Linked DNA regions of Macaca fascicularis. The protein of the gene in region 2 purifies or fractionates together with the protein of the main gene of each other region. This does not show direct contact. Links are inferred from orthologs where the notes say so. Each region holds a gene or a part of one and is shown on either strand. Other genes may lie near its edges.

Region 1 (7,036 bases), on a different chromosome or scaffold from region 2:
ATGTGTCCAGAACTATTAGGCAAGCTAAAAGAATTTGGAACAATTGCCCTCTAGTGGTATGCAAGTGGGATTGGGAATGTTTTTATAATTCTTCGACTTAAAAACTACATGTAAAAACTATAAGCTGTTATAGGAATTATGCTGTCTTATAATACAAAACTTTGATGAGAATTGTATTTTAAAGTGCCTTCCTTCTTCCAATCTGAATTCTAAGTCATCAAAGTCCATCCCAAATTCTACCTCTTTTCTGAATTCTTCCCTGGCCCTTCTGATTCACATGAACTCACTTCCCTAGATTCCTGGTATTGACCATGTAGTATATTTTTTTACTTTCTTTTTTAAAAACAGAACAATTCTTGCATCAAATAAAATTTTACACAGAAATCTACAAAAAAGCTGTGCTGCTCTGGTTGAAAACATCCCTACCTGAATGTCTTATAATGTGTCAAATTCAGTATGTTCAAAACAGATCTCATCAACTACCTCTTCTCTCTGTATAAATATGGCAATTCTTTTGCATTCCCTGTATTGATGTACAGCACCAACATTTACCTACAAAGTGAGGGTCCTCTCTGCTGCCACAATCAATCAGTCACTTTGTCAACTCTACTTCTTTTATTTTTTATTTTTTCCTGCTCCCCTTCCCACTTTGACCTCCTTGATAATCAGTTCTATCAGCATCTAATTACTTATCTTAATTCCAACTCCTATCATACAAGTTAAGAGTCTCTTAATTGGTAAGATTACTGAAACAGCCTCCTAACTCAGTTTTTTTCCAATCCATCCTGCGTATTTTTGCCAGAGTAATCTCTCTAAAATGCATATCCAATTTTATCAATCTCCTGCTTAAATCAACCAGCTCCTCATGTCCTTTAGAAAAAAATCTAGACTCCTTCAGCATTGTTTTGCAAATCTCTAATGCTCTGACTTGTGCTTGCCTCCTCAGTTTCACCTCTTATTATCACTCTGGGTAATTCATTAAGAGTTTTAACTATCTTTGAGTTTTATATTTTTTCCTCATATTGTGTAAACGGAGAGACTGTGGGGGCTCAGCAAAGTTAGGTAGCTTGACCTAGGTTATATAATATCTACTGACTAATTGCCTTAATAGTACCTAGGCAGGTGACAGAGAGATAATCTTTGTAGACCATGACTATATCTTGATCATCTTTGATTCTCCTGTCAATTAACAGATATTGACTAAATGTTGAACAAATGAATAAACTAGTGAATGACTAGCAAGCTGGTGAATATTACTCAATGTATCTGAACTATTGGGAAAGAATTTTTAACATAACCAGAATACCTAGGATGTCACAAAAATAATAAGATTTATAGATCTACAAGTGCTATAATATTTAGACACAGTAAGGGAGATTTCTAATATAAGAAGGTATTACTTATATTCAAAAAAATTTCTACTTTAGTATATGTGAGAGGAGAGATGTAAATATTTAACACTTTGGTTTTACCTTCCTGGCCTGCTCTTCAGCTCTTTCCTTTTTAATTTTTTCCAGTTCTGCAAGAAGAGCTGCAGTATCATCATCATCACTTTCTTCTTCAAAATCTTCATCTTCTTCCTAAAAGAACAGTGAGAGCCCAGAAGATTGGAGGGAAAATATACATTACCAAAACACAGTACATATGTACAATATATCACCCTAAGAAAGTCAAAACAATTTTATGTAGCTCAAAACAACTTTAAGCTAGCAAGTAAAGATAATCAAAAGTGCAAAAAACTGCTAATTTCTCAGAAGAAAATAATTTCAAATGAATAATCATTAAATTTCACTTGAAATTAGGTTTCTTGTTTTAACTATTATGAGTAACTCCATCATTTAACTCTAGAATTAACTGCTGATATGTATACACAGGTAGATATTACTCATTGGATGCCACTCAGGTTTTTCACTGTCCTGTATGTAGAAAACTGCAAACTGATTATAGGCTCTAGGGTCCCACAGAATTTTATCATTAACTGATGTGCTAATCCTTAAAAACCTTCTGCTTAGATTACTTCCCTCACTAAGCACAGAGGGAACCATTAAGTGTACTCCACTTATAGAAAGGGGCATATCTAATGTGGAAAGGCCTCCAGGTACAACTCTAGAGGGCACTGTTTATAGGAAACCCAGTGTGAAGAGTGCCCTGTAGAGGTGTGTAACACACCATAGTGCAGTAGTTTAGTACAGGACATTATTTTGCGGGAAAGCATGTCTTTTAAGATTCCTTCCATATTTGGTTCTCTAGAGACCAAACTTGTTCTTAAAAGTCCCACAAAATAATACTTTTTGTTTTAAAATCAACTATAAAGTTTAGCACTGAGGTCAGGGTTATATTTGAATAACAGCAAGCAAATATATGTCACTTCTTAAAGCCAAAGGCATAACAAGTATTTCAGAAAAACATGGTAAATCAATTATTAGAGATGAAAGGAGAAAACAAAACATACATCTGTTAGAGGGTCATCTGCATCAAGGTTGGCAGCAGGAATCTGGTCTAACCGTGGCTTTTTTGACACTGAAGAGGAGGTTGTATGTTCTGAGGGGAAACAAAAATCACTTAACTTAGTAAAACAAATACTGCATCTCTTAAAATGTTTTAGGGACCTGTGGGCACGAGGAGCCCACACTGAAAGCATTATCCACAGTGAAATCACATCCACAGTGCCTGGGCAAATAAGCCTTTGGTAAATATTTGTTATTGTTATCTCTAATGACTTAAGAAAGTATTACAGCTCACATCAATCTGTAAAAGCAAACAAATGGTTAATATTTTCCAGTTGCTACATAAAAGAAAAACTATCAACAACATAATTTTAGAGATAAATGTCTTGGATAGTGTTGGTACCTCGGGTTGGACGATCTCTGTTTTTCTCTCTTGCAGCAGCTCTCTCTCTTTCTTCCAACTCTCTCCTGAAGTCACGGTTACGAACCTCTTCAGGGGCATCCTGAGTAGTTTGTCTAAAGTAGAAACAAACCAGGGCAAAAATGTTACTTAAACACACACACACATACACACACACACGACTGTGGTAATGGAAGACAATTCAGGAATGAGACTTTGTCCTTCAAGCATAAAAAAGGGAAGTAGATAAGATCATAATCTAATCTGAAAGTTACTAACAGCCACTCTTGTGATGTTCCCAATATTTCAAGAAGTCCAAATTCAATCACGTATTTTCCTATAATAAGGCTTTACGTGATTAAAATGTCTTTAATTTTTATTGGTATTATCAACTCAGAACTTAACAGTAATACTTTTAATATATTGACTGGTGCTGATAGTGCATAATCTCTCTGAGGCATTATTATTTCTGTTATTTATTGTTGTATCTACATACGAAAATTTCTGGTTAGTAGGAATTTTGCATTTTAAAACCACAGGGCAGAATTTTAGTGTTAAACATCCTATTGCATTCTAATCCTATGATAATAGATAAGTGACATAACTCGAACATACTACTATATCATGACCATGCCATTTAACAGATTTGGTCTTGTTTTGTGAACAAGAAAAAAAAGAGGCTGGGCGCGGTGGCTCAAGCCTGTAATCCCAGCACTTTGGGAGGCCGAGATGGGCAGATCACAAGGTCAGGAGATCGAGACCATCCTGGCTAACACGGTGAAACCCCGTCTCTACTAAAAAATACAAAAACCTAGCCGGGGGAGGTGGCGGGCGTCTGTAGTCCCAGCTACTCGGGAGGCTGAGGCAGGAGAATGGCGTGAACCCGGGAGGTGGAGCTTGCAGTGGGCTGAGATCCGGCCACTGCACTCCAGTCTGGGCGACAAAGCGAGACTCTGTCTCAACAAAAAAAAAAAAGAAAGAAAAAAAAGAAAGTCTTACTACCTGTATTTTATCTTTGTGTGAGAGGGTAGGTCTCTGCTTGAATACTGCTTTGAAAGTTGGCTCAAATCACCTTCTCCTTTTCCCCTTCCACCTCTTGCAGGTTCAAAGGTTGGCCTGGCTGCTGTTGTCATCTTTTATGCTTTGAAGAAAAATATAATCAAGTTATTTACAACAATACAAACACTCATTTTACAGAGTATTAATATCCATACTAGTGAAATAAATTCTAAAACTCATTCCCCTAAACCTGCTTAATCTTCTTAAACAAAAGTTTTCAGGAAAACAAATTATGAGGCTTAGGCCGTACAACGAATAGGGCTTCTCCGGCTTGTCTTAGTACAAAAAATTCTGTCATGAAGATCTGAGTTTGCATCCCTATTCTCCTTCTGACTATATGGGCTTGAGCAAGTCACCTGGCTTAACTTTCTGTCATCCGTGGAATGGAGATATTCCTCATAGGATTACTATAAGAATTATGACACTTGACATGTCAAAAGCCTTGAAAAATACAGTACTACCATGACTAAGTTTTAAAAATTTCCAACTCAACCTTACTCTACCAGACTCTCTAAGGTTTGCATTTTATCTAAACTTCACACAATAGCAAATAGGCTAGTAGAAACAAAAGCTAAAAACAAACAAAAAATATCACTGACAAAGTTACTAAGTGTCTGAGAAAAAAGTTACTAAGGAAAGTGTGTTAAACTTCAATGACAGGTACATAGAAAAAAATTCTTAACCTTTTGTTGAGCCAATTTTCTCCTACAACAGGCATCATATTATAAATCAGATCGTTTGTGGGTTATAACTTAAGGACTGTTCAAAAAAAACAAAAACAAAAACAAAACAGGAACCTCAGCCCCAGAGGATTCTGATGACAAAAATCAGGGACCCATTCCTTAAGTTACTTTCTGCTTGGAGCAGTCACAAGAATACTGCCTAGCAGATGCAGTCATTAAAACCCTGTTAGTGTCGGAAAAGCAAGTGTGTGGGGAGGGTGGGCGAACTGGGAGGATTTTTTTTTGTGGGGGGGAGTGCTTTCTCCTAATTTTCAAAAAGAGTAAGAGACATGTATACAAAGAAGAAACGGGGTTATCTGGAGCTGGGAGTCCGCCCCTTCCCACACACTAACGGAATTATTACTCCGGCCTCTCGTGAGCTAGTCTTTGGCTATAACCAGAAACTCGTTGCCCCTTAACCCGTGCCCAGCGCCGCAGGGGTGCGAGGGGTAGTGAAAGGAGGACCTGGGGTTCGCTTTACGCGGTAGGCGCGCTGCCTTTTATGCTGCGATCTCCTCTGCGGGCCCGAGAGCTCCGGACGCGCCTGACAGGCACTCCGTTTCGCCCCTAGCCCGCTGCTCTAGGTCCTCCACCGCCCGCACTCTGCACTCTGCCGCCGACTCCGACCCCAACTGCCCTTTCCCGTCCCACCGGGATGAGGAAGATAACCTATCCTCCTGCCGCTCACACTGGCCGAGGTCCGATGCAGCAATCTCCGAAGATCATACAGACGCCATTACGACTCCGAGCTCCCAGAAACCTCTGCGCCCAGGGCTAGCGCCTACGACCCGGAAGCAAAATCCAAGCGCTTCGGAGGCGGAAGCAACGACCAATCCGCAGTGGCCGAAGTGGAAGTCGGCGTAACGGCACTAGGGGGCGGGGCCGAAACGGCCCAGGGGGCGGGCGTTTGAAATCAGTGCCTTAGAGTAGACCCTAAACATCATTTTATACCTTCAAGAACCAATTACTTAATGTCTCTTCCGTCTTTTCCGTCCCCGACCCCCTCCCAGACTCCTTCATTCCGGTACTGCGTGGACGGAAAGCCCCGGGTAGCCGACACCACGTCCCCGGCTAGCGGGAGAGAGCGTGGAAAAGGATTACACCAAACTGTTTAAATCCAACGACTCCTGCTTCCATCCTTTCTCCTGAGCTAGAACCAACAAACCTAGAGAGTTGGGCTTCGGAAAAACTAGTGTTTTCATTTAATTGGATATGAAGAAAGAACAAATATGTACGGGGCAACCACGATCTTTACAAAGGTACATTCCTGCAAAAATATTAACACTTCAAAGCAAAGGTTGTATTCGTAATGTTTGCTAAAATTTTTTATTTAAAAAACGTTAGTTTTAGTGGGAGGGGAGATGTCAATATTTACGACAGCGTTTAGAACGGTGGGCCCAACTGCCAGGAGCACAAGATGTAATTACTAAGATGGCTACTTAAGTGTTAAGTTTTAATAAGAACGAAAAGGAGAAAACCCAAAAACCAAAAACCCACCAATCCTGTCTCCTCCCTTCCATAAAAAAAAATCCTGAGAACAGAGATCTTGATTGTTTAGCTAATCTTAGTATCTCATCACATAGACCTTGACATATAGTAGCTGCTCAATTAATATTTGTTAAACAAATGAAAATTCAACTTCCCCAACTTAGTTTAAAATATAAAGAACTCACAAAGTTGAATATTTAAATGCTTTCTTACCTCTAAATTCTTTGCAACTTTTAAATGAAGAAAGAAAAGCAGAAAAAGCCCTTTCACTCATAGAGTTCAAGATGAAAATCTTGATTTTTCTTACTAAAGGTATCCCTCCTCCAGTCTTACACGTCTCACTAAAGGACACGATCATCATACTAGTTACTCAAACCAAAATCCCAGAGTGCCTACTTAAATTCCTTTTCTTTCACTTTTCACATACGGTTCATTTACAGGTCTTACCAATTCTACTTTTAAAACTTACCCGAAATTTTATTCTACTGCCATTACCCTTGTCCTGGCCAACACCATCTCCTACCTGGATTGTAATTGTTTCCTATTGTATCTTCCTGCGTCATCTTTTATCCTACAGTCAATGCTGCATATAGCCAAGAGAGTGATCTTTTAAAATTAATCAAATGGTGTTACTATCCTGTGTAAAATTTCACTGCACTTAGGATAAAAATCACATTTCTTAATGTGACCTGAGACGCCACGGCGTCTGGCTCCTGCCTAACTTCCAGACTTCACTTCCAATCAGTCACTCGCTTACACACTAAGCTCTAGACACAGCCAACTGGGCATTTCTGTTTTACGAAACAGGGCAAGATTCCTTCTATTTTAGGGCCTTTGCACTAGCTTTTCTCTGTTGCCTGTGCCCCAAGATAACTGTATCACCATCCTTCATGTCTCAGGTATCACAGTGAAGTTTTCCT
Region 2 (8,119 bases):
GCTCACATCTGTAATCCCAGCACTTTGTGAGGTCTTGTTCTTTTTATTGATTAAAAAGTTCTTGTTCTTTTTATTAATAGCCACTATGCCTTTTATTTTTTTGAGATGGAGTCTTGCTCTGTTGCCAGACGGGAGTGCAGTGGCGCGATCTGGGCTCACTGCAACCTCTGCCTCCTGGGTTCAAGCGATTCTCCTGCTTCAGCCTCCCGAGTAGCTGGGACTACAGGCGCCTGCCACCATGCCCGGATAATTTTTGTATTTTTAGTACAGACGGGGTTTCACTATGTTGGCCAGAATGGTCTTGATTTCTTGACCTCATGACGCGCCTGCCTCAGCCTCCCAAAGTGCTGGGATTACAGGCGTGAGCCGCCGTGCCTGGCCCACTCTATGCCTTTTGATTGGGGAATTTAATCCATTTACAGAGTAATTATTAATAGGTGAGGGACTTAACCAGTGCCAATTGTTTTCTGTTTATAGATCCTTTGTTCTATTCCTCCTCGTGTGTGTGTGTGTGTGTGTGTGTGTGTGTGTCTTAATGGCTTTCTGTAGTGGTATGCTTTGGATTTTATCTTTTTATCTCTTGTCTGTCTGTTACAGAGTTTTGCTTTGTGGTTAGCTTGAGGCTTACATAAAAGAGCTTATATAACAGGGTATTTTAAGTTGATAACTTAATTTCAATTGCATACACAAACTATGCACTTTTACACCCCTTTCTCCCATATTTTATGTTTCTGATGTTATACTTAAAATTTTTATATAATATTCCCTTAACAAATTGTTGCACTTTAGTTGTTAATAGTTTTGCCTTTTAACCTTTATACTAGAGATATAATTGATTTACTCACTGCCATTAGAGTATTAGAATGTTTGGATATGACAACGTACAAACCACGCCCAGCCTGGATAAGGGGTTAATATCCAAAATAAACAAAAAACAAGTTTTGTACTTTAATATATTTTCATGTTACTAATAAGTGTTTTCTTCCTTCAGCTTGAAGAACTCCTTTTAGCATTTCCTGTAAGGCAGGTCTAGTGGTGATAAAGTCAGTTCTGACTGAGAAAGTCTTTATCATCCATTTGGTTTTGAAATACAGGATTGCTGGGTATAGTATTCTTGGTTAGCAGTTTCTCTTGCTCTCTCTTTCTTCTCTTTCTTTTTCTTCTCTCTTCTTTTCCCTTTCCCTTTCCTTTCCTTCTCTTTCTTTTCTTTTTCATTTTTAAATATATCATCCCACTCTCTTCTGGCCTGTAAGGTTTCTGCTGAGAAATTCTCTGATAGTCTTATGGAGGTTCCTTTATACATGGTGATATGCTTTTTTCTTGCGGTTTTCAATACTCTGCCATTAGTTTTTGACATTTTAATTGTGATGTGTCTTGGTGGGTCTCTTTGAATTTATCTTATTTGGTGTCTTTTGGGCTTCCTGGATCTGGCTTTCCATTTCCTTCCCCAGGCTTGGGAAGTTTTCTGCCATTATTTCTTTGAATATGTTACTTGTTCTTTTCTCCTTCTGGCACCTGATAATGCATAAGTTGTTCTCCATGATGGTGTCCCATAAGTCTCTTAGGTCATTCTTTTTCATTATTTTTTCTTTTTGCTCCTGAGGTTAGATGATTTCCAGTGACCGGTCTTCTAGTTTACTGATCCTTTCGTCTGCTTAAACTAGTCTGCTGTCAAACCCCCATATTGAATTTTTCAGTTCAGTTTTAGTAGTTTTCAGATCTATGTTTTCTCATTGGTACTTTTTAATACTTTCTGTCTCTTTGTGGAAGTTCTCAGTTTGTTCTTGCATTGCTCACTTGACCTCGGTGAGCATCTTTGTGACCATTATTTGGAATTTCCTGTTGGGTAAATCATATATCTCCAGTTCACTTGGGTTGGTTTTTATTGCTTTATTTTGTTTCTTTTTTTTTTTTTGGGAATATATTTTCCTATTTCTTAATTGTTCTTGGCTGTCTCTGTGTTGGTTTCTGTGCGTTACATGAGACAACTGCCTCTCTCAGACTTCTTAGACTGGCCTTGTGTAGCAGAAGGATCTTGCCAATCCATCCAGCTAGATATTTTAAGATACCCTTTAAATCTTTGTATTTGTTCAGACTGCTGTCTCTATTCTTGGTACTATATTCCATCAATACCCTGTAATCAGTCAGGTAGAAGCCAGATGCTTCGATGTAGCTGGGAAGGTTGAGGTGTTGGGTATGTGTCCTAGTTCCTTCTGTCATCATGTTGAAGATAAGTGCTTGATTCTTCCACTCTCTCTACACTAAGCCGTCTCTGTGGCAAATGCCTATGCTTGTGTTGTGGCTGCACTCTGTGATCCTGGTGAGATAATCTGCTGGAAGTGGGCTCGTAGTATGTCCACCTCTGTTTTCTGTGGTTTAGGGAGATTCAGGAATGCAAAGCCCTGTCACTTTCCAGAGCTTAGGTTGTGAAGGGTACAGTCCCTTGTCTGTGTGGAGCTGTAAAAGTGTGGCACGCAGTCTGTAGACAAACTCCTTTTAGGAAGAATGAGTAGGCCTGGAATTATCAGTGGGATGTGCTGGGGGAAAGGCTCAGGATATGCCAAGTTCCTGCTCAGGCTGCCTGAGGGGTACTGTTTATCTCCCGCATTAGCTCTCTGATGCAAGTTAGAGGCCAGGCTGTCAAGTAGCCACTGGAAGAGTATGTGGTTATAAACCCTTTCTGGAGAGAAAATGAGAGCTGCATGTTCCAGACTCTTTTCTTCACTGCTCCCAGAGAGTGTAGCCCTAGAAAGTATTTGCACACCTGTTTAAAACCACCTCCTTGTTTTCTGATCTAGAGAGACATGCATATGCTTAGTCTCTTCCATTACCAGATCTAGGAGATTTAGGATATAGTCCTTTGGGTAGATGCTGTGCAAATTGAGGCATTTGATGTGTGGATAAACTCCTTCTAGGAGGAATTGGTAGGCCTAGAGTTACTGCTGGGGCAGACTAGGGGGAAAGGCTTGGAAAGTGTCCAGCTGCTGCTTAGGCTGCCAGAAGGCTACTTTTGCACTCCACTGTCCCATTAACTCCCCATGCACGTTAAAAGCCAGGCTGTCAAGTAGCCACTGGAAGACTGTGCCATGAGCCCCTTCCAGGGAGAAATGTGGAGCTTCATGTTTTTGGCTCCTTCTCTGCACTGCCCCCAACGGGTGCAGTCTGTGAAAGTACTTGCATGCTTGATTAAAAGTATCTCTTTGTTCTAGGGATGTAGTGATCTAGGAAGACTTGCACTAGATCCCTCAGCTCCCAGAGCCAGGAGATTTAGGATGCAGGCCCTGGGATGGAAACTGTAAAAGTTGGGGTCTTGATGTGTGAACAGACTCCCAGAAGTACATTTTTGGGATATAGATGATGAAGATGGCTTGTAGCTAGTCCCAAAATAAATATGTTGAATGATAGCAGAAGTCATTTTCAGAAAGTAGGCATTAGTTTTTCCCCTACTGTGACATTCAAGCCCGCTTTGAGGTTCAGTCATGGGTCAAATTATTATAAATAGATTATAGATTATTTGGTACTCACCTATAAAACCCTTTAGGTGCAAGATAAATCCTTCTTAAGCTTGATTTTTTTTTTTTTTTTTTTTTTTTTACAGTAGTTGAGCTATAAGGAGTTCTAGTGTATTTTTGCTTTGAGGCACATGCATGAACGAATGGCACCTTTTTAGCCCTTTATTTAATAGCCTACTTTTCTCATGTATGCTGATGTGATCTTCCCCTGCTCTCCAGATAAACAGGGGTCACATGACGACAGAAGCCAAGAGAGCTGCAAAGATGGAAAAGAAGATGAAAATTTTGCTTGGGGGTTACCAGTCTCGTGCTATGGGGCTCATGAAACAGTTGAATGACTTATGGGACCAAATTGAACAGGCTCACTTGGAGTTACGCACTTTTGAAGAACTCAAGAAACATGAAGATTCTGCTATTCCCCGGAGGCTAGAGGTAACGTTATATATTGAAGCGTTGCTTTAAAAGAGTGCTGCAAAGAATTATCAGGGCTGTCCTCTTTTACTTCTCCTATGTAGGCTGTCTCTGAAGTTGGTACTGTCAGGCTTTTAAAAATGAGAGCCTAAAGTGTTTGACTTTAATCTAGAATTGCCTCTGTGTAGATGGATAGACTAGGCAAGTTGTAGATACAAAGGCCTTCCTTTACTCATGTTCTGTTTCATACGTAGATACACTGTGAAATGGAATACTTAGCCCTTGTAATTTGTCCCCTTGAAACTTGATCACATCCCATTCGTGTAGCTCTGTGAGGGGAAACTAAACCAATATCTTTCTGTTTTATAACTTAGGTGGCTGGGAACATAGCTAGTCCTTCCAAACCATCAAATTCCTTTGACCGGATTTGGATTCAATTTATCTCCCAAATGTGCATAATAGCTCCTGTCCAGCTAAAGGGCAGCCAGGGCTTCTTGAAGTGCATTTGTGGGTACTGATAAGACAGTAGTGGTTTGTTTATTTGAAGTAGCAGCAGGATTTCATATGACCAAATCAAAGAATGGCTGTGATACTGGTTTTATAGCAAAAGTATTTGATATGTTTGTTTCTCTTTGAGAAATTTTTACCTCTTAAGAATCATGATTTAACTCGGCTGGTTTTTAAGATAGTAAAGTACTGTAGATTTTTTTCAATATAGTTACATCTAAAAGAATTACTTAATATTTTTGTTTCTTTAAGTGTCTAAAAGAAGATGTTCAGCGACAACAAGAAAGAGAAAAGGAACTTCAACATAGATACGCTGATTTGCTGCTGGAGAAAGAGACTTTAAAGTCAAAGTTCTGAAGTACAGTTTATATTCTGTCACAGGATTAATTGCCGGTTTTCATACTCTAGAAGGCTGAAACTGATGTTTATCTTCATTGACAAATTTACCCACCATCTGTGGTTTTTTGGTTGTTTATTTTAAATGATATCGATCTTACACATTCTGTGTATAAAGACCTTAACTCCACAGGACGGACATTTTAGAGTTTAAATTATTAAGGCTGTCATTCTTTTAGCAATGTCATATTTGCAAACTTTTTTAGTTTTGGCCTTTAATTTAAAAAGCCTAATTTTAAAGTGCTGCCTGTGAGTAACTCTTAAATAAAAACAAAATATAAAAAATTGAGAATGTAGCCTTTTGTTTTAAGTAATTAGATACTTAAGAGTGCCCGCAAACCAGCAGCTATGTACTCTGTGTCATATTTAATGAGTAACTCTTGGGTAATCAAAATGGTGATGCAGTATCTTAAACACTTAAGAGGCAGTTCTTTGTGGCTTTGTTAGTTTCAGCAAAGAATGGTCATTTCTGTGTACACTGATGAGTTAGATTAACTTTTTAGTACCTCAAATTTTTTTAAAATATCACTTTAAAGAAGGTTTCTTCTCCTCCAGCTACTTAAATAATTTATGGGTCAGGGCTTAAAATATTTAATTTTCCTTGACCCATTATTTTCTTGTAAGTATTTTTTGACAAAGGCATTTTAAAAGTTAATTTCAAGAAGGCCATCAAACTTAAAGCTCTATGTTTAGCGTAAGAAGTCAGTTACATCAGTGTAGAATGTGGGGAATGGATAGAGGTGGAGAGATTTAATTTTATAATAATTCATATAAATTAATTTAGTGTACAGTATCAGTTGGCTATGAGCTCATTATAGGCCAGCAATGTTTTGAGATGACCAAAAACATTTGCCCAGTCTTAGAATACTAGGAACTATAGGAAGGGAAGGGATTCATTCATTCATTCATTCATCAGATATTGAATGTATACCCTGTGCCAGAGTTTTAGAGAGAGAACAATGAACAAAATAGGCCTAGTTCTTGTTTAGTAGAGCTTATAGTCTTTTGAGAATAACAGACAATTAAAATCCAAATGTTTATTTGGTGATTCTTATGTGTCAGACACTTACTTAAGTGTTGGAGATAAGCAGTTATTAAGACCGAGTTCTTGCTGTCATGGAGGTGACATTAGTGGGGAGGAGATACTAAATATGTACAGGGAAAGTATCAGACCATGAGTTTCAGATTCTGTGGAGGAAATTAAAGTAGGGTGATTATGAGATAGTGAATGACTGGCTATTTTAGACTGGACGATCAAAGAGACCTCTTGGAAGGCAGCTGTGCTCACCACTATACCACTGCACTGTACCACACCATACCACTATAAGCTGCATGGCCAAGGAGACCTCTTAAAGAAGTAACATTTAAGATAACATGTGATTGACATTTTAGAATGGGCCATCTTTGTGAGATTCAAGGAAAGAGCATCCCAGGTGGAGTGAATAGCAAACATAAAGCCTCTTTTGTATGTTTGAGGAACAAAAAGGACTATGTGGCTGGAGTGTCAAGAATGGCATTTCTGTATGTAAGGCCTGGTTGTATAGAGCCACATAAATAAGGCTATAATAAGGAATTTGGATCTTACTTTAAATATGATAAGAATCTATGAGAAGATCTAAGCAAAGGAATGACATAATCAGATTTGGTTTTAGAAACATCACTTTATCTCCTTAACTGTGTAAGATCTCACCAGGCTGGGAATAGGGAAACCAGTCCATTTAGGAGCCTGATGCAGTCATCCAGACAAAAAAATAATAGTGATTCTAACTAGGGTCCAGGTAATAGTAGTGGAGATATGTGGAGAGACATGATAGTTGTATTCTTAATAGTCTTATCAGACCATAAATTCATATTTTCCTGGTATGTAGTCACTTAATTCAAATACTTTTTTCAGTAAGTTCTGGGTTTTCTAGGAAAAACTTCAGTATCATCAGTGAATAATGATAGTGGTTCTTCTGATAGTTCTATTTCACTTTTATTGCATGTTTTGTTAGCAGAAATGTTTAGGACAATGTTAAATAACAATAATGATGTTAGACTTTTTTTTCCCTCATTTTAATGGAAATGTCCATAGTTTTTACTTTTAAGTTTGCTGTTGGGAGTTAGATAGTCTTTATCTGAAAGATAGTGTCTCTTTTTTAATTTTTAAAGAGTTTGAATTAGAAATGGCTCTGGAACTTTAAAAAATATACCATTCGGGCATCTATTAAAGCATTCATATAATTTTTCTCATTTGATGTTCTGATGAGCTGTATTAATAGATTTTCCCACATTAAATCATCTTTGCACTCCTGGAATCAGGTAGATTAATTTTTAAAAAGTTTTAAAGGATTTATAGTTTATTTGCATTTTTTGTAGACATATGGATTTAAAAGTCGATCTAATATTAATAAAGGCTCACTTTGTTCTTAAAATTTGAAGTAATGCACAAACTTATAACCTAAAAAAATTGGCAAGAATTACAAAATATCAAAACTGGCGCATCGTAAACTGCATATGCGTTTGCCAGGTAGCAGTGCCACTTGAAATGGTGAACAGACACACTGTTATCCTTTGTTAGTATCCTGTAAAGCCCAGGATTCTTTACCAGCACCACACAGCAATTTTGGTTACTATTTTAACATTCACATTGAGGCCAGGGGTGGTGGGTCATGCCTGTAATCCTAGCACTTTGGGAGGCCAAGGTGGGAGGATCATTTGAGCTCAGGAGTTCAAGATTAGCCTGGGTAACATAGTGAGACCCTGTCTCTATTAAAAAATAATCACAATAAAAATAACCTTCAATACCTTGGTATTGTTCACTAAGGTATTGGTCATTAAGGCATTCATTAAGCTATTGTTAAAATTTTGTTAAGCATGTTAAAGTCTCGGTAACTTTGGGATAGAAATAAAATGTGATAAAAAGCTGAAAGAAACCACCACAAGGGAGAGTCCTTTTTGAAATATTAAAGACATAATGCTGTCTAATAAACGAAATCAAAGAAAAACTACACTACAGTGATTGCAGACTTAATGTTGGCTAACCATGTATCTTCCCTACAAATGCATTTGAATTTGATTTACTAATCTTTTATTTAGGAAATTTACATTTTTACATTAGTGAGATTGGTCTTTTGGGCTATTGTACTTTTTTTTTAAGTGGAGTCTTGCTCTATCACCCAGGCTGGAGTGCAGTGGTGCAATCTCGGCCCACTGCAACCTCCGCCTCCTGGGTTCAAGTGATTCTCTGCCTCAGCCTTCTGAGTAGCTGGGACTACAGGCATGCGCCACCACAACTGGCTAATTTTTGTATT

What was found. The genes of interacting proteins can lie anywhere in the genome.
Region 1: the proteins of CDC5L (region 2) and CWC15 purify together in Homo sapiens (affinity purification with mass spectrometry; 4 studies listed by BioGRID and IntAct, with this or other methods). This does not show direct contact. The link is inferred for Macaca fascicularis from reciprocal best matches to the Homo sapiens genes CDC5L and CWC15.

What each region holds. Positions count from the first base shown.
Region 1 is NC_088388.1:93,954,207-93,961,242, forward strand, and holds the start of CWC15 (spliceosome-associated protein CWC15 homolog), read right to left. Parts: upstream 5,395-7,036; 5' UTR 5,094-5,394; intron 3,989-5,093; 5' UTR 3,981-3,988; coding exon 3,850-3,980; intron 2,964-3,849; coding exon 2,851-2,963; intron 2,542-2,850; coding exon 2,453-2,541; intron 1,581-2,452; coding exon 1,473-1,580; intron 1-1,472. UniProt on the Homo sapiens protein: Involved in pre-mRNA splicing as component of the spliceosome. Component of the PRP19-CDC5L complex that forms an integral part of the spliceosome and is required for activating pre-mRNA splicing.
Region 2 is NC_088378.1:127,066,847-127,074,965, reverse strand, and holds the end of CDC5L (cell division cycle 5-like protein), read left to right. Parts: intron 1-3,731; coding exon 3,732-3,944; intron 3,945-4,682; coding exon 4,683-4,787; 3' UTR 4,788-7,813; downstream 7,814-8,119.